2 linked regions of the Mytilus edulis genome follow. Each later gene encodes a partner of the first gene's protein in a complex. Links are inferred from orthologs where the notes say so. Each region holds a gene or a part of one and is shown on either strand. Other genes may lie near its edges. The genes, in order: RNA-binding protein spenito-like and N(6)-adenosine-methyltransferase non-catalytic subunit METTL14-like.

Evidence for each region.
Region 2: RNA-binding protein spenito-like (region 1) and N(6)-adenosine-methyltransferase non-catalytic subunit METTL14-like share a complex: the UniProt entries of both Drosophila melanogaster proteins name them as parts of the WMM complex. The link is inferred for Mytilus edulis from reciprocal best matches to the Drosophila melanogaster genes nito and Mettl14.

What each region holds. Positions count from the first base shown.
Region 1 is NC_092344.1:101,821,147-101,831,180, reverse strand, and holds the start of RNA-binding protein spenito-like, read left to right. Parts: upstream 1-5,975; 5' UTR 5,976-6,250; coding exon 6,251-8,408; intron 8,409-10,034. UniProt on the Drosophila melanogaster protein: RNA-binding protein that acts as an associated component of the WMM complex, a complex that mediates N6-methyladenosine (m6A) methylation of mRNAs. M6a modification plays a role in the efficiency of mRNA splicing and is required for sex determination.
Region 2 is NC_092352.1:28,717,277-28,727,737, reverse strand, and holds the start of N(6)-adenosine-methyltransferase non-catalytic subunit METTL14-like, read left to right. Parts: upstream 1-5,788; 5' UTR 5,789-5,862; coding exon 5,863-5,928; intron 5,929-10,133; coding exon 10,134-10,219; intron 10,220-10,461. Other genes in the region: putative uncharacterized protein DDB_G0279653, read right to left, coding at 2,730-3,090, 3,290-3,705. UniProt on the Drosophila melanogaster protein: Non-catalytic component of the WMM complex, a complex that mediates N6-methyladenosine (m6A) methylation of mRNAs, a modification that plays a role in the efficiency of mRNA splicing and is required for sex determination.

The sequences.
Region 1 (10,034 bases):
TAATTCACCTGTGCACTTTATTGTTGGAGCAAGTGTTATCATGAGTGAAAAGTTGTATTGAGCAATGCAACTGCTTACGGAATAACACGTGATGTGCAGTTAGCCAATCAGAATAAAATATTATAATGAAACATACATCTAATGTAATTATTTAAGAATTGAATGCTGCTTTTTGTAAATTTATTGGGGTGTAAAAGCGTTGACCGAAGAACATTTTGTATGAAGCGCGGAAGCGCTTCATACTAAAAATGTGCGCACGGTCAACGCTTTTACAACCCTATAAAGTTACAAAAAGAAGCATTCAATACTTATAATTACATTTTTTTAGCTAGAATCATGAAAACACGATTTTTATCAAGTTTTCATTTAATTTACCTGTGCACTTTATTGTGGAACCTCGTGTCATCATGAATGATAAATGTTATTGTCTAATACAATTGTTTCAGGAATAGGACGAGATGTGCAGTTGGCCAATCAGAATAACGTATTATAATGAAACATACATCTAATGTAATTATTGTCTATAAATTTGTTTGCTGGGCATTACCAATTATGGATTCGGTAATTTCCGCTAAAAAACGAAGTTTACTGAATGATCTCATCATACATCAATCTCATCATACATCAAACATCATCATCACCATCACCGATCATCACCATCATGATCAACAAAAAACGTATAATGTTGTGACCACTTCATATAATGTTGTGACCACTGCATATAATGTTTGGACCACTGCGTATAATGTTGTGAGCACTTAATATAATGTTGTGAGCACTGCATATAATGGTGTGAGTACTGCATATAATGTTGTGAGCACTGCATATAATGCCGATCATTAACATAAGGCAGTCATGGCGTTCCATACGTTAATGTTATTACTACCACTGGGTCGATGCCTCTGCTGGTGAACTGTTAGTCCCCGGGGGTATCACCAGCCCAGTAGTCAGTACTTCGGTACTGGCATGAAAATACGGATTGTTTGTGTTATTAAAATTTACTGTTACAAAATGTTAGAAATTATTATAAATTAAGGAATGTATCTCCCTCATGCAAAGCTCTGATTCCTTTCACGGATTTGGCTATACTTTTTGGACCTTTTGGATTATAGCTCTTCATCTTTTATATAAGCTTTGGATTTCAAATATTCTGGCCACGAGCATCACTGAAGAGACATGTATTGTCGAAATGCGCATCTGGTGCAGACAAATTGGTACCGTTAATGTTATTATTGCACCGAGGTTGTGACTGCATGGTTGCTATAAAAAATAACGCATAGCTGAGAGGATGATGATGGAGTAGATTGTTACTCCAAGAAAACATTTTCAATATTTTTTAGAAATGGTGGGTTAGTAAAGGAAGAAAATAAATGGTTTTATGATGATGTACACATAGATATATAGTTAACAAATTTACTTATCTAGCTTTGTTCTTAATTTTAATGGAACATTTTCTGTTGCACAAAAAAAAAGTTGCTGAATACTTCAGGCAGAGAAGCTATGTTTTGTTTATTTAGTAATATTAGACAATATTTATTTACATGTAATGATTTAAAACTAACCAATCTTTTGCTACATTAATTTGCGTATTTCGTCTTCTTTACCCTACAAGAAACTTTCCTAGGAGCCGTGGATTGCGGTATATCGTCCGAATATTTTCAAAACGTTCACGTAAATTGATGGCGTCGTGTGTTAAAACAGTTTTTGGCCAATCATCAAATCGGTAAACATCATTTAATATGCACGGTCGGATGACCCTTTAAACCGAATTCCTACGTCGTCCGGGTTAATAAGGGTCACCGAGCCGCGCAGATTGAAAGATATATACCGACTTGCTTGGTCAATAACTTTAACATAGTCACTAGGAAATTGTGTAAATTTAAATATTGGATTAAGGTATTGAATTACGACAATTGTATATTACTTGGTTGTTACAATTATTTATATGATATCTGTTTGAAGAATCCAAATGACTGATAAGAACTGGGTTTGTAATCTACGAGGAGAATTGTTCCACCTTAGTTTAAAATGATTTGTGGTTTTCGTCAAACTGATTATTCTGTATGCAAACATCATATTATAGTTATAAACAGAGACTGTGTGACATTGTCAAACAAGAGTTTGATGCTACTTTAGATAGTTCATCAAAATGTTTTTTGTATACATGTAGATATATGATATCAAATTTTTCTTTGCACACATATGTATGTAAACCAATACCCAAAATTTACAAAAGTGTATTGCTAAATTTGTTTGTTTGCTTTTTGGCCTTGAATGTTTGTCCCTAATATTTTATTAACTGTGCATTTGCATGCAGATATCGCAGATCAAATATATTAGATTGTCATCATCTAATATAGCTTTTTCAAAAGTGATTTTTTTCAAAGGGTTAGATATTTCGCAGTGGTGTCTTGCCATGGCTTTGTTTGGACTTGTTTGTTTGCTTTTTGGCCTTGAATGTTTGTCCCTAATATTTTATTAACTGTGCATTTGCATGCAGATATCGCAGATCAAAATTATTAGTTCATAGTTTGTTAATTTACGTTTTTTGATTGAGTTAAGCCTGTCAATTGATAATTTATCGTGTGTTTTTCTATGTTGTGATGTTATGCTATTATTTTAGAAAAAGGGAGAAGGTTTGATACCATTAAAACCTTTAATCCCGCTGCAAATGTTTGCAGTCAGGAATCTTATGTACAGTAGTTATCGTTTGTTTATGTAATTTATACGTGTTTCTCGTTTCTCCTTTTTATATAGATTAGACCGTTGGTTTTCCCGATTGAATGGTTTTACACTAGTAATTTTGGGGCCCTTTATAGCTTGTTGTTCGGTGTGAGCCAAGGCTCCGTGTTGAAGGCCGTACATTGACCTATAATGGTTTACTTTTATAAATTGTTATTTGGATGGAGAGTTGTCTCATTGGCACTCACACCACATCTTCTTATATTTATATAGGAAAGGTAAGGTATTCTAATGTAAATATAAACCTTAGAATCTGTACATTGTGTCTAGATGATATAGAGAGGATGAAATGCATTTTATCTAATCATGTCCTTCATATTCAGCATTGCGTGAAAATTTGATAAAACCATATTATTGGCGTTAGCCATCTATTCATAAATCTTTACAAATTGTTATGATATTGTAATTATTATATTTATTTATGTTGGCCTAATTTGTGTTGTGTGGCCTGATAGTTGTTTACAAAAAAGTCTTATAACTGTACAGTTTAGAAATCACTGGAACAATCACAGAATGATTGGAACTTTCCATTTGACTTACATAATGATTCCAGAAGGATCCTAATAAAAGATGCGTAATTTAAACTTCTACATTTTACTAGAAACATCCGTTGTAACTTTCTAGGACGTTCCATTTCTAGAAATTTCCGTGATAACTATACATATTTCTTCTTTCCATCTAGTGTAACATTGTTATTTTTTATAACATTTTACCCTTTGAGTATTAAAATATGAAATGTTCTTATTAGGAAACGGATTAATATAAGCTAAGAGCTTGTTTCTGGATCCTATTAATTATTTCACTTGTATTATTATGTAAATGCCTATGTATGTACCTGAATATAATTAATAAAATATGTTTACACTAACTATACATATACGGACACTAAAGTCTCAGACTTAGACATCGATAGAAATTAGTATTCACAGCATTTTGATTCACACTTTTATTCTACAAACAACCTCAGACTGGATTGTGACCTTAGTAGTGAACGTAATATTCAGATTAGATTCTGAGAAGATTTCCGGATACAGATAAAGAAAAAAGACTGGACTCATATTTTGACAGTTTAAAGTTGACAGTAATATTGGTGTTATACTTCTTGTAAACTTTTGTATAATAAATCTTGTTAAATTTTATAATTGACTGTGTCTTTTGTTGGCCACAATTTAAAGGTGCTTTCTGACTGATTGAAAAGACTTATGCAAGTTAGGAAAATATATATTTAGAGCACTGTTCAAAGCTCTAAAATGACTGTTTTTAAGTTGATATGTAATCAATTGTTACATGTATTTGTTATTTGTTATTATATTTACATTTCTGTCTGTTTTGTCATGATCGTACAATTTTGTAATCTAAATTAAGTATATGTTGAAAAACATTTGGTTAATAAAGAATTGAAAAAATAATGAAATAATAAGTCGTTGTGAGTCGGCGGACACGGATCTGTATTTTAATTAAATAGGATAATCGTACTCCATATGTTTATGATATTCAAGTAACCCGAGTTAACAGTACGTCAGTCGTTGGATTCTGTGCATTTGTGGTGTGGCGTCTACTTAAAGGCAAACTTTACATTTATTTGCATTTTTACTTTTCGTGTGTTTCCTAAATATAGTTTGTTTAGCCACAGCTTTTTTGAACTGGGATCCACTGGCGGATCCAGAAATTTTCATAAGTGGGGCCCAGTGACTGCCTAAGAGGGGGCCCACTCCAGTCACGCTTCAGTGATTCTCTTTATAAGCAACCTTTTTTTCAAAAAAAGGGGGGCGGGCCCCTGCCCCCCCCCCCGGCCCTAAATCCACCTCTGGGATCCGATAAACTCAAACAAAAACAGAAAGCGTTGCTTCTGTTTCACCTAGAACCTTTCCTTCGCATGTCAATGATGTCGGGTATTTACAGACATTAAACAAGAAAAAACACAACCAAACATTTTGGCATTCTACTACAAAAGAAAGTTACAAATGGCAAATTTTAGGCACCATGATTGGTAAATATCAATTTTAGATTGTGCTAGTGCTAAATGCGTGCATGGCGGCTTTGATTCCTTTTTCCGGGTTGCTTTTACTTTTCTTATCACTGTTTTTAAATGATATGAATGGTTTTACACTAGTCATTTTGGGGCCTGTATGGCTTACTGTTCGGTAGTGATCCAAGGCTCCCTTGTGGAAGACCGTACTTTGACCTATAATGGTTTTTCTTTTACGAATTGTGACTTGGATTGAGAGCTGTCTCATTAGCACTCATATCACATCTTATATCTATTTTGTAGTTCTTTTCTTTTTGTTGAAATAAAAAAGAAAGAAGTGAGAATCAGTATTTCCGTGACGTGAACGCTAATTCTTCCCACTTATAAAAACGGTAAGTCCTGATGATTTAAGTCACGCCACCTCATAGCCAATAAAAATGATTTAGATATGTATGCTCGAACTACAAATATACTGAAAGTGTAACAAACATGATTAACACACTTCACTGGCCAACATTACAAGAAAGGAGACTCAAAAGCAGATTAAATATGTTCCATAGAATAACAAACAACAAAATTGTCATACCACATACTGACATATAAATTAAAAGCCAATCAAACACCAGGTCTAGCCACGAACAAACATACCGACAAATTCAATGCAGCAAAGACAGTTACAAATTTTCATTTTTCTGCCAAACTATAAAAGACTGGAACAAATTACCTGAACCAATAGCCTGCAGCATGTTTAATATGTATCTTGTTTTTTTTGTTTTTTTTTTATCTCATACCAGAAGAAGAAGAAGAAGAAGAAGAAGAAGAAGAAGAAGAAGAAGAAGAAGAAGAAGAAGAAGAAGAAGAAGAAGAAGAAGAAGAAGAAGAAGAAGAAGAAGAAGAAGAAGAAGAAGAAGAAGAAGAAGAAGAAGAAGAAGAAGAAGAAGAAGAAGAAGAAGAAGAAGAAGAAGAAGAAGAAGAAGAAGAAGAAGAAGAAGAAGAAGAAGAAGAAGAAGAAGAAGAAGAAGAAGAAGAAGAAATAACGTATTATAACCCTTTTTATAAGTGAGCGATTTTTTTTTAAATGGGGCGAGTTGGTGATTTGTTGTGGGGCGATTTGTCCTGCTTCAAAGCGCAGATATTTTTGTTTATATTTCTATTCTTATCGAAAAATATGGAGGGAAAAAAGAATGTTTAAAAATGAGTGCTAGACGGGTACGAATACGGACAATAATCATGCTTTTCTACAAACCACCATCCACGCCCCCGGAAGTACTAATTACAACCATATTATCACATTTTGAAGCGCAAAATAGATCACAAAATAGATACACACATACTAAAAACATTAATGTTTCAAAAGTGTCAGCGATATAAAATATAAGTATTCGTACCTGTCTCTGGTAAATGCATGAGCAAAACCAATAATATTATGACAGGTTATTATATTTTGACTTACGCGCAGTAATCTGTTGAAAGAAATATGTCTACACGAATCGCGTCCTGAAATAAGATTTTGTCGAAGAAAGCAAATAATACTGCAAAATGAAGCGTTCACCTATGAGAGACCATTCCCCTATAAGTAAAAGGTCCAGGTCATCATATCGCATGTCAGATCATGATATGGGCAGAGGCATGTCACCAGATATGTACGACCGAAGAGACCCTCGCAGAGACATGGTTATGAAAAAATCTTACCGTAACATTGATCATGAAATGGACCGTCCTCGTGCTAAATACAGAGATGACCGAATGGATTATTCCCCACCTTCTAGGCCTGATACTAGACACCAACCAGACTTTAGATCTATTTGTATAAGTAATATCTCTGGGAAAATCCCTGTTCCCGTCTTGAAAGAGACCCTCTATCACGAGTTCAAAAAATTTGGAGAATTCAATGTTAATGTTACATATAGTGGTGATATTAGAGTAGCTTATATAAACTTCAGGTACCCAGAAGATGCACGTGAATCTAAACATTTGAAATCCAAACTTGTTCTCTTTGATCGTCCTGTAAGAATAGAAGCTGTGTATCAAAAGAAACGAAGCCATAGCCCCGGAAACGATAATTTTCATTATGAGCGCCATGACAATTATGGTAGCAGTAATTATAGAGGAAGGGGATCTTTTAGAGGATATCCTAGCAGTAGAAGACCATCTGGTCGTGGATTTTACCAAGGACCTCCTCGCAACATGCCTCCAAGGGAAACCCCAGATTTTAATCAAGGAGACTCATATAATGCTCCTAAACGAAATGACAAATTCCCATATCATCTAGATCATATCCAGCCAGAGGATGACGAAAATGCAACCAGGACATTATTTGTAGGCAATCTTGATTACAATATTTCTGAACAAGAATTAAAAACAGTGTTTGGGAGATATGGAACAATAGAAGATACCGATATAAAAAGACCTCAAAGAGGCACTGGAAATGCTTATGCCTTTATAAAGTTCATAAATTTAGACTGTGCTCACAAAGCCAAAGTGGAACAATCTGGCCAGTATATTGGCAGGTTTCAGTGTAAGATTGGTTATGGTAAAGTGACTGCAACAACTTGCTTATGGGTTGGTGGTCTTGGTTCATGGATTACACATGAAACACTTGAACAAGAATTTGATCGATTTGGGATGATAAATAGAATAGAATGGCCTAGAGGTAAAGACTATGCCTATGTTTTATATGATAATTTAGATGCTGCTCAAGCAGCTTGTCAAGAAATGCGTGGTGCCCCAATGGGAGGAACCGAGAATAAAAAACGTCTTCGGGTTGATTTTGCAGATCCAAATCATATCATGATACCCGAAAATCAAGACAGCACTCATCGTGATGGTAATTCCTTGTATGAAGAATCAAGACGTGAAGGTAAAGAAAGTAGAACAAGGGAAGAATGGCGTGAAAATGATAATAGAAATCCTGACATTGAACTTAAACATAGTGGTAGTTGGGAAGAAGGTAGAAAAAGACCTTTATCTCCAGACGAGTACAGGAGGAGGAAGATATCAACTTCACCTGATCAAAGGTTTAGTAAGGGCCCTGAGTCTAGAGGTAGATCAAGAGAGAAAAAAGCACTTTTTTCACAAGAAAGAGAACTTGGTGAAATTGATCCTCATGACGATTCAAGGAAAGAAAGGAAGAACTCAGTTGACAGTTCAGACATGGGTATTGAAAATGTAACTTCAATACCAGATCTTGCAAAGTGTTTACCTGTTGCATGGAATGGTGCAGTCATTTTGAAAAATAGTGCTTTTCCTGCTAGAATGCATGTTGTAAGTGGAAATGTAACCATTGTTGATACCCTAATGAGAGATCCTAATTCAACAGAAACACCAGTGTTAAAGGTCAAACAGAGATTAAGGCTTGACCAGCCTAAATTAGAAGACGTTGGAAAACGTGTATCCAGTGCTGGAAAATTAGGACATTGTATTTTGCTAGCTATGACAAGCACACTTCAAAACTATGAAGACCCGAGTGTTCAACAAAGACCATTAAAAAATTTAGTTAGTTACTTAAAACAGAAAGAGGCAGCAGGTGTTATCTCCCTTCCTTCATATGAGTCAAAGGACAAAGATGATGTTGGTGTTCTATACGCATTTCCTCCATGTGAATTTGGCTACAAATTTTTGACCAGTAAAGCGACCCATCTTCCAAGTGAATTAGTACCAGATGATTATATGGTCATAGTAGTTGTTACTGGCGCAGGTTAATTTAAATATATTTTTTTACATCATTTCTAAATTAAGAATTTACATTTATAGATGTTTATATAAAAAAGTTAAATGGATCTTAATTCTAATTTTGACATAACTTTTAATCTTCAGTTAATCTGTTTCTTACTTTATAATTTATCAGTATTCTCTTCTGATTGTCGTTATGTCAAATATAGAATATTTGTATGATATTTATTTTTGAAACTTTAGAAAAAATATTGTGAATATTTTAAAAGTGATCAGACTGGGATGAATGACAATTTTACAATTCAGGAAAGTTAAATACATTTTTCAGGTGCGGATCCAGAGGGGGGGTTCTGGGGGTTGGAACCCCCCTTTTTTTTGACCGATCAATGCATTTGAATGGGAGCATATAGCTGGAACCCCCCCTTTACTCTGGGTTGGGAACCCCCCCTTTTTAAAATGGCTGGATCCGCCCCTGATTTTTGTACTACCAGTCATGCCAGTGCTTTTTATTTTTCCTTCATTGTATAATTTGTTATCATTGTTCATTTATAATTGAAATGGAATTAAGTAAGGTCAAATATTCTTTTACATTTGTTTGGTTTTTAAACAACACTTTAAATGATGTTTATTGTAAAGACAAACATTTGTTGATAAATCCACATAATAAACAATGTGTAACTTTTTCAATATCATTGAACAAATGTTGAATAAGTTATAAAAATACAGTTTTCAACAAAAAGCATGATAGACAGTTGTATGTGGTTTAGTTCTTAACATAATGAGTTTCAGCATTTCAAGGCACAGAATATCATGAATCTCGGATTAGAATATTTAAAAAGCTCCATTTGAAATAGTATTTCTTGCAATAAATTTTATACATTTATATGTATTTGTATTTTCAAACATTTTTTTTATTTTTACATGTCTGAATTTGCACAACAGTCTGAAAACATGAAAAAGAAATGATCAAATATGTGTATGTTTTATGTTGCAGTAGCATAGAAACAACAAATTTAGCTTTTTTTTGCATACATTTTAATTTAATAAGCAGGGTTACATTAGGGCTGAAAATTGTGCAAAACATATTTTGTACTTAAAGCTTATAATTAAGGGTTTAAAATGTCAGTGTTCGCCGTTGGCTTTATAAATGCTTATATTTTCCTATTTTTTTGTTATATTATTTTTGTTGAAGAACTTTATTATGTACATTGTATGATTTAAGGCCCCTGTTAAGTAAAAATATGTTGCATACTTTGTCATATCCTGGTATTCAATTATTTTTAGTGATGCATGGTGCAGTTGTTATACATTGTAAATTATTTTGTGCTAACAAAGGTGGTATTCCACTCGTAAGCCATTTGTAAGTTGAGACAATTTATATTTTTAAATAAGTTTTTTACACTTTAAATACAGTTTATCAAATATGCTGCTCATATTGGTAATCCAAACTTATTTAAAGGATGTAGTCAGGTGAAATTTAAAAATAAATCCAGAATTTAGAATTGATACCAAGTCAGAAGAACATTAGTTAAGGAACAAAATAGCTAAATATATCTTTGGTTGTGTTGTTGTCTCTTTGACACATTCCCCATTTCTATTCTCAATTTTATTCAAGACAAAAAGTTTATCAAGATATTTGATTATTCCTTAC
Region 2 (10,461 bases), on another chromosome or scaffold:
TGTAATTACTCTTTTAGAAATAATAACATAGCAGATGTTCCCAGGGTAAGGACAACTACCCATGGGCTACACTCATTTAGATACGCAAGAGCCAAACTCTGGAACGAACTGCCAAATAAGATGAGGGAAGAAATGCCATTGGGTCAGTTTAAAAGCTTGGTTGGTAATTGGGAGGGCAGTTCGTGTCAGTGTTCCTCCTGCAGATCTCAGTGAGCTGTAGATCAGTTTATTTATTTGTCTTGTATACTCTGGCTTTTAAATTATTAGGCATAATTTTTTATTTGTGTTCTAAATGCTTGAATTACTTTTAGTGCTTTATAATAGCTATTGCATGAATGATAGTTTATCTGCATTTTATGTTTGCTTATATGCTTTAATTGTGCTTATTAATTGCTTTGCTTGATAACATTATTTATTTTGCATGATGTGCTTTATGTTTTATGTGTTTTATGTATTGTGCTCGTCTTATATGTATGTCGGATAAAAGCTCTACAGAGCTTATGTTGTATTGTTATATGTATAACCGACTTTAAATAAATCTTTTATGCTTTATGCTTTATGCTTTATGATTCAAGCGTTATCCATCTCTAGCTAAGGGGTTGAATTGAAAAGTGAATACGGATTGGATGAGGTCGAATTTTTCACTTGCAAGTGAATAATTCATCAATTCATCATGTTTCTTAGCTTATTTTAAAAAAAAAAAGAACAATACTGGCTGCTAAAAGCGAATAAATATTTCACTCTTTCGCTTTCATTAATGATAGAACAAAAAAACTTATATAAATAAATAAGATCAACCCACATAAAGCCACCGGCCCAGATAACACCAGTGGTCGCTTACTGAAAGAAATGCAGACAGAAATTGCACCAATTCGATGCTTAATTTTTAACAAATCTTACAATACTGGTATTACACCTAACGACTGGAAACACGCTAGAGTCGCACGTGCATATAAAAAGGGGGATAACCATAAACCGGTCAAATATAGACCTATCTCATTAACTTGTATATTCTGCAAGTTAAGGGAACACATAGTAACATCACATATTATGAAACATCTCGAATCAAATAACATCTTGTATGACCTCCAACATGGCTTTCGGCACTCTTGATATTGCGAGACATAACTTTTCTCCTTCATCTAAAAACTTCAATCCACAAACAATTCAAATACACAAAGAAACCTTGTAATAATGGACTTTGCGAAGGCCTTTAATAAAGTTCCGCATCGTCACTTAGTTACTTTACAAATTACACTACTAAATATTTTGGCATTAATGGAAACACTTTAAACTGGATCTCTGCATTTCTCTCCGATCGAACCCAAACAGTTGTTCTGGATGGAAGATCATCAAGCACAGTCCCAGTCACCTCTGGGGTTCCACAAGGTACTGTCTTAGGTCCAGTATTATTCTTGGCTTATATTAATGACCTTCCAGACTACCTTACAAACTAAGATTACTTGCTGATGACAGCATCATATATATGCCAGTTAAATCCTAGAGTGACTGTTTAAAACTGCAAGCTGACCTTGATGCAGCTGCAAAATGGGAGGAGGACTGGATGATGGCCTCCCACCAAGACAAGTGTAATGTTCTCTCTGTCACAACTAAACGTCAACCTTTACAACATAATTACACTCTTCACAATCATATTTTAGAATCTGTTACATCTGCTAAGTACTTACATTACAATCAAACCTTAAATAGGACAAACACATAGATGACAATATCTCGAAAGCCATCAAAACACTCTGAACAACACTCAATTCAGTAGCTTCCTGTAAAATGTTTATGATATCAATTGCTTGTTGTTCTACATCAGTTTCCTTTTTGCATTTCAGTCTTCTTCCTCACTTGAATTACCTTTGGTTGGTAATTTTCTATGTTTTTTTCTTCCCATTTCAGAATAGTTTTCTTTTTGCTTGTTGTGCTGATCATCTAAGTTTTCCCCTTAACGATCAGGTTGTGTTTTGCCTTTACTGGTACATGTGCTGAACTGTTAAGTAGATGTTGGTCCATAATCGCTGAATCCAAAAGATTACTGCCTCTGAAGTTGTACTCTATCTGCGAGGTGGAATTTTTATTATGGTGATAAAAAGTAGGTTTGTGAGTATTTTTAACTATGCTTTTAATAGCTGATGTTGACTGCAGAAGTTCTTAAGCAAATTGTCATGGTTATTATTTCTACTTTGCATGAGTGTTCCATTCAAATCCCCCACTATGAAGACATTGTGTGTTTGCTCATATTTATCAATAATTGACGAAATTTTATCCAGTTGTTCTCTGTACTCTTTGTCTGATCCTGTTGCCATTGTTGGCATATATCTATTAATTAGGATTACTTTAACTGGTTCAGACTAAATTTCGATGACTATTCTTCTTTTTCTAGCTTCCTGATCTTATGTGAGATTGTTGGAGGCCATATAGTTATTACTCCCCCATTCCCCCTTCTTCTTTGTAGTTCCAAATCAACTAGATTATCATCAAAGCTTGAGATATGATAGTCGCAGTCTGGCAGAATTTCTTTTAGTGCGACTAATTCATATCCGTGTAACCAATGCAAGCATAGAATTGTGTTTGTTTTTAAAAGTTCTTTCAGATATACATTGCTGCCTTTCATTCTCTCAATGTTCATTGAGACAATGTCTAGCATTGTCTCAGTAGTATTTCGGTCTCCTGTCCAAGTTTTTGGATGTCTGGTGGTTCCTTTGGTTGGTCTATTTTCCCTAAAAATACTGTTTTGGCTTTTCTTCTTCTGTTGAATGTTGAGGAAGGTTCATTGAAGGATGGTCAACATGTTGATTATTAGGAACTGTTATTTCAGTGTCAGGAGTTGCAGTAATTGTTGGTGTTTCTTTTAGGTTTTGTTCTTCATTTAGCAGAGACTCTGGATTTGTAAGTTTATCAAATGCTTGGGTCAGTTTAATTTCTGTTTCGGCATGACTTAGCGGACTTGAGCTACCTTCTGATTTGGACTTTTCTTTTCTTTGCCCATTATCACTGTGTCTTTCTACTGATATTTTGTTATGGTTATAGAGATTACTATTCTGTTGATAAGGTGGTGGTGGCACTCTCGGCAGTCCTTGTCTTAGTAGATCATCGTGATGCACTGAGTTGTAGTGTAATTAATCAATTTGACTGACTTGGTCTTGCCTTGAATAAAACTGGAGTTGACCGTTTAAATAAGATTGACCTTGTCCATTAGTATAGGGATCATTTTGATGTCGACTTTTTCCAGAGTTGTACCCTTTTGTTATCATTTTGCTGATGTTGTTCAGAGTTATACCCTCTTGGATCATTTTGAAGATGTTGATTTTGTCCAGAGTAATACCCTCTTTGGTCTTTTTGTTGTTGCCGATGTGGTCCAGAGTTAAATCTTCTCAGATGATTTTGGTGAATTTGACTTTGCTCTGAGTTATATTGATACCCTCTTGGATCATTTTGTTGATGTTGACCTTGCCAAGAGTTCAAACATCCTGGGTCATTTTGATGTTGTTTTTGATTTTGTCCAGAGTTAAACCCTCTTGGATCAGCTTGATGTTGGCTTTGTTCAGAGTTATACCTTTTTGGATCCATTTGATGTTGATTTTGTCCAGAGTTATACCTTCTTTGGTCATTTTGATGTAGAATTTGTCCAGAGATATACCCTCTTGGATCAGTTTGATGTTGGATTTGTCCAGAGTTATACCCTCTTGGATCCATTTGATGTTGATTTTGTCCAGAGTTATATCTTTATAGCTGCTTTAGCCTCATATCCATCATTTGCCCATGCATTTCTTGTTTTATCTGTTTTTGAAGCTCATCTCTCATTTGATCTATATTGCTTCTATTCAGATTTTCTTGTTCTATATTTGGTTGCCTTTTCATGCTATTGATGTTATCTGCTGGCTGTCCATTACTTTGAATGATCTCCGTGTTTTTCTTTAGTAAATCTATTGTTTTGTCTTGATTCTTAATGCGCTATTCTAATGAGCTTATATAAGCTATCTGTTCTAATTCAAGTTTCCGGTTTTGCTGGTTTTTCTTGTTGCTTCTTTTAACCGTTTGTTTCTGGTTCTGTTTATCTATATTTCTATTGTTTCCATATGCACTTAAAATAGCACCTTCCAATGGCTGAGTTTAAAACTGAGGTTTGCTCCTCCACAGGGTGCAGAGATTGTCTATTCATTGTGTCTGATTCTCCCACAGGATTTAAACATATTGATGGGAGCAGTTTTTACCACAGAACACCACAGAATACCAAAGAAACACCATAGAATACCTCATATTTTCCTGGCATTACAAAAATTCTGAAAAACATGAACCCTCACAAAGCCACCGGTCCAGACAACATTAATGGTTGAGTTCTAAAAGAACTACACAAACAAATAGCACCAATACTGCAGCTCATATTCAAAAAGTCATTTCACGCTAGGCAAACTCCAACATACTGGATGCATGCTAACGTCGCTCCAGCTTTTAAAAAAGGAGATAAACACAAAGCAGTAAACTACCGACCTATTTCATTAACTTGCATCTGTTGCAAGTTAGGAACACATAGTCACAAAACATCTTATGAATCACCTCGAAAATAACAACATCCTCTATGATCTCCAACACGGCTTCCGAAATTCACGCTCATACGAAACTCAACTTCTTTCCTTCATACAAGAATTATCAGAAACAGACAATAAAAATTTCAAACAGATTTAGTTATTATGGATTTTGCTAAGGCATTTGATAAAGTTCATCACCGAAGACTTCTCTGTAAATTACAGTACTACGACATCTCTGGACAAACACTAAACTTGATAAAAGCATTTCTTTCCAACCGTACACAAACTGTTGTCATAGATGGAAAGTCATCCTCCCTGTCACTTCTGGTGTTTCACAAGGTACTGTATTGGGCCCTGTCTTGTTTCTGGTCTACATTAATGACCTGCCAGACTACTTGACCCACAGCATGCTCAGGCTATTCGCAGATGATACCATAATATACAGACCGATCAAATCCCAGAGTGACTGTGATAATCTCCAAGTAGATCTAGATGCGGCAGCTAGTTGGGAGAGGGACTGGCTGATGGCTTCAGTCCATCCAGATAAATGTACTGTGCTATCTGTCACCAAAAAGAAACGACCTATACAGCACAACTACATTGTAAATGGTCATACACTGGAATCAGTCACATCAGCTAAGTACCTTGGTGTCACAATACAGTCAAACCTAAAGTGGGATAAACATATAAATGACATTACATCCAGAGGCAACAAATCACTGGGTTTCCTACATATTCATACATCAAAAGAGTCCTACAGACATTCATACTTTCCATATTCAATATCACAGTGTAACCAGCTCCCTGTGGTACCAGGCACCATCCATTGATAGCTTCAAAGAACAGCTCACTTCAGCTGTTCTCTGTCTATTAATAAAAAGCATCAATTTAAATTGTATATAGTCATGATAGTTTTAATCACAAATTTGACATTTTATTGCACTTTAATTATATTTCGTTTAAATTGGGGTAAAAAATTGGTAAATAGTCCACGTATGCGAACTGTATGTAATCATCGAAGTCGATGGAATATTGTATACCTAAAGAAGAAGAAGATAAGTGGTGTCCTTTTATCGAACGTTGCTACGCACGATTTAAGAAATAAAATATTGGTATTTAGATATAAACGTAAAACGTAAAAACAAATGTCTTTTTATTTTTTCACTACTTTCAATGTCTTTTTTTGTATGGAAAAGTGATATTTTTCACTATCGAATGAACACGTTGACTCCTATGGAATAAGTTTGTTATAAGTAGTTGTCGTAAAAGTTCAATCGACTGGTATATTTAGGTACCAGACAAACCCAGCTAGTACGCGGAAAATATGGGTGATAGATTAAAAGAGCTGCGAGAAAGATCACAGAAAAGAAAACAGCTGCTTGCACAAGCAGTAAATGATTTTTAATCTCAATTTTTAAAATGAAAACTATGAAAGATTCAGTTGTTTACTGTTCATCCTTGTCTTTTGTTGAATGTTCTTAAACTTTCACTTTGATGAAAACAAGGATTTGTATAGCTATAAATCTTACTAAACAAATCCTTGTCATGAATAACTTCGGCTCTGTGAATTTATCATATCAATAATTTGTCTGCCATTACTGGTTTCAACAAAGGTTCCCTTAAAATTGTGACGTCTTTAAACAATAAACCTTATCGTTATTTGTTCGCCATTTAATACTGGACATCACACAGGATCCATTAAAATTTGACGTCATAATACAAAATACCTGTTGCCACCATGGAAAAGAGATTGTTGTATGACGTCAACAGGGCTCACACTACTTCAGAATTATAGGGAGAAGTGACTTCTCTTTTTGAAACTGATAGGGAGAAGTGGTGAGATTTGAAAGAGAAGTGCTCATTTGCATGGTACGCTACAATGTTTGGATTTTACAATAGTATAAAGGGCCATATGTAAATAATGTTCTTTTTATATTGTTCAATTCATACCTGAGTAAAAAAATTACAATTAAAGTAACAATTGAAATTAAAAGTTGTTTAAGTTTTACTAAGTAAGTTCTTGTGGGAAACTATCAACTAATTATCTAGCACTAAAAAAAAAAACAATTTTAAAAATGTAAAGAAATTATGATATATCAATTACAATTTAATTAAAAATTATCTTGTGTATGAAATTCAGTGTTTTTCATAAAAAAATATAAAATTTATTAAGCTGGGCCATAATATATTGATATTAGTATAATAGTCTCAGAGTTAAGCAACTTTAATCAATAGTTTAAAACAATCCATAAAAAATATAGGGAATTATATACACCAATCAATTAGATGTAACAAAAAGTCTCTTAATGCGAGTGGAATGCGTAATTTTTCCCTTTGGGATCAATATTCTTCTGTCAGCTGTTCCATCCGTGCGTCCGTAGTAATTATTGTAAAAGTACGGATTTCGGTCATAGCTTGTCCGGTTCAGATCAGTAGTTTAGAAATCGGTCAATGGCGGACGAATGAAAGAAAATTTACAAAAATAAACGATGTTTGACAAGTTATTTGGAAAGGAACATGACGTTTTTAATGCAATAAATGGATTAAACATTTACCGGAGGCAACCTTTATCACGTTTAAATGAAGTAACAAACTTATTTTGCCGCCGAAATTTAGGTTAATGTACGTTTTTGAGTAACAAGCCCCGGAACTTGCGGAGATGCACGAAGTGATAAAAAGTTGTATTTTTATCAAATAACCTGCTACACACTGCAAAGACAATGCTTCAACCTCTTTTCTAAAGATAATGAATCGTTTATGTCTGAATTTCTTTAATTATCAATAAAAAATTGATGTTTCATCAACTTGGTAAAAATTGAAAATTATGTCCGATGACGAAAGCGACTGAAAGCGAGTATCGTCAAGAACAGGGCGACTTGTTTTCGCTTTTGGGGGTTGGGGAAAACGGAGTGACGGTCGGGAAGGCGACTTCTTCGCCCAAGTCGCCTGGTAGCGTGAGCCCTGGTTGATTTTATACATTTTTTAGCCATCTGTACCTATATACAGGAATAGATATTTTCATGTGCCTTATAAAGATCTTTCTGAGTCTAGATAATCCACTATTTTTTTAACACTTATTACAATGCTACTTTCATTCTCGTCAAGCTGAAAAAAGTGGATGTTCAAAAGTCGGAACAATCATTGTTCATAGTTAAAAAATCCTGTTTAATTCAAATATAAAATTTCAAATTGTGAGTTTAGATTATTGTGATTTTAACCCTGTCACATTATCATGATTATATAAGCTACAGTCTCATTTTAAGATATGAAGAATTCCTTTTAATTGTTTAACAGACACATGAACATATATATATATTGACAGGACTTGACACTACCTAATTGTAGCAGATTTCATCTTCGCGTCATCATTTATAAAGATACAATGTGGAAATGGACATGTGTTAAAAATGTACTTGCTATTATCCTAATAATTTCAGATAATATCAATAAAATGTCATTCAAACTAAGTTTTATAGTAATGTTAGTGCATTGAACTTGTAATCTGTCACTTCATAATTGTTATAAGCACATTCATATCATCACAGAAGGGTACAGAATACAAACCATTCAATCAAAAAATGTTGCTGATGGCATTCCAAAACCATTATATAACATTTCACATCAAATAAACCACACTTATCTTGGTAAATTTACATGACAAAATATATCTACTTTATGATAAGACTTATATTTATATATGAATTATGTGTTTAACTCATACATGTGAACCTCCCGACCGGAGTACAATAATCCCGTTTTCAGGGGTTTCCTCCCGTCCTCCAGTTTAGGAGAAAAAAATCCTGTGTATGAAATATTTTATGAATGGAAATTTTTAGCCGCCTTTTTTTGGGATACGATTGCTTTTAAGCAATCTGTAGACGTATACCGTTGGCTCAGGGCCATGCCCTCACGTCAACCGTTTTATTCTAAACATTAAGGAACATCTCAGATTCTTATGATTGTCTTGCTTTAAATGGTAAAAACAAACAAAGGGATTGAACTTTAACTTTCCTTCAATGTTCTTTTCATAATCTTCATGTTTGATATTTCCCTTGACTTATATGCATGTTTTTAACAACACAGAAAATCAGAATTAAGCAGTATTTATATTTAGTGTTTTTATAAATTTAGAAACATGTCAGAGGGAATTCCCCAGTTTTGATAAAAATGCGAGAGTTCTCTGAATTCCGATAAATCTATTTATAGATCATATACATGTAAGAACTGAAGTGGAGATTTTCTTATGCATGTTTTATGTCACCGTTATGAAACTGATATTTGATATTGTACTGCCATAAAGAAATAGAGAACCATCTAGGTCGTTTAATTAACATTTAAAATACGTTCTTGCTCCAGGGTTTGTTTAGGTAATTATGTGCATGCGTATAGTTTTCTTGACTTCAAGGGGTATTAGATTGAATGGTTGCTCTGGATTCCCTACTCAATTGATTGATTTAAAACTCATGGGATCCTTTCTATGTATGTCTGCTATTTAGGGTTATTGTTGTTGCATAATTTTAAATCATATGCATATTTTAAATTTTTTTAAAATGTAGTCCACATCGTCAAGGTGTATCTACAACACCCCTTTAGGCGAAATAGAGTCTTCCATATTATATTTTCGAGTTGTCTCCCTTCCGGAAGTAACTTCCGTCAATTCTGATACGATACAACACGTCGAGAAAAATTAACTTGTTCTGTCGATAAACATCGTATTATATTAAATTATTATTATAACTTGTACACAACACATATAAGACACACGAAGCAAATTCCTGAAGTGAAATTAAATTGTACTTTTATTCAATTCAATTCAATACTTTATTGGAAAGATCACAATATGATCCAAATTCAGATAATAATATATTCAACAATTACATCTACTTAAAATGAAATAAAAATTAATTACAATGTACCAACAAGTCATATTTAGTCAATTATACTCATTAAATTATAGATATGGTCTATGGATACCATAACATTCAGAATTCTTAATGATACTTTACACATATAGTATGATTATTCTAAGTTTTCATTCGTCCTGAACATGCATGAAATATTTGCCACTGGACATTAAGCAACCAACAATCAATCAATCTAAGTTTTCATAATTTTACTTTAAAAACACTATCGCCTTTATGAAATATATCTGTAAATGCACAAGAAGCTAAAAAAAATATTTTTCGAAGAAACAATATGGTGGTTTATCAAATAAAATGCTTCTTCAATATATATTTATTGACTGAAAATGAATTACATCTCAAAATTATATACATGTTCATCAATATCTGTAAAAGCAGTATAACACGTGGTCATTAAAAATAAAGTGTTCAGGTAACAGATTTGTTCATGAACCAATATACAGATCTTGGGAGATCTTGAGAAATCGTGGCACCAATGATATCCTGTATATGGCCATAGTTTTTTCCCCCATTGTTGATTTATTAACAACTAGTCTAATTTATGCACCTGACTAAGAAAAACATGTTAAATGTATAATAACAAAATTTGATTCAACCAGTAAAAATGGTATCTCAATTTATATTTTGACTGAGCTGTTATTCTATATTAAAAGTTGTCATCCTTTTTTTCCAGTTTGGTGTTGATAGTCCTGATGGATTGAAGAAAGTTCTGAAGAGTAAAGATGAAATACTTAATGAAGAGAAACCTAGCAAAACTGGGTATGCATAACACATATTGCTTAAAATACATGTAGAGAAATAATGTTTGAGTGGCAGTTATAACTTTGTTTCAGACTTATATGAAGTAGATGGCAGAAGGGTCATTGCCAAAATCCTTGGACTAATTTGTGCAAAATGTACAAAGTATTTCTTTTTTCTCACCTATTCAGATATACTTACCCCTTCTATTATATAAGATTAAGAGTGTTTAGTTTTCACAGTAAAACATTGATTACCTTTTC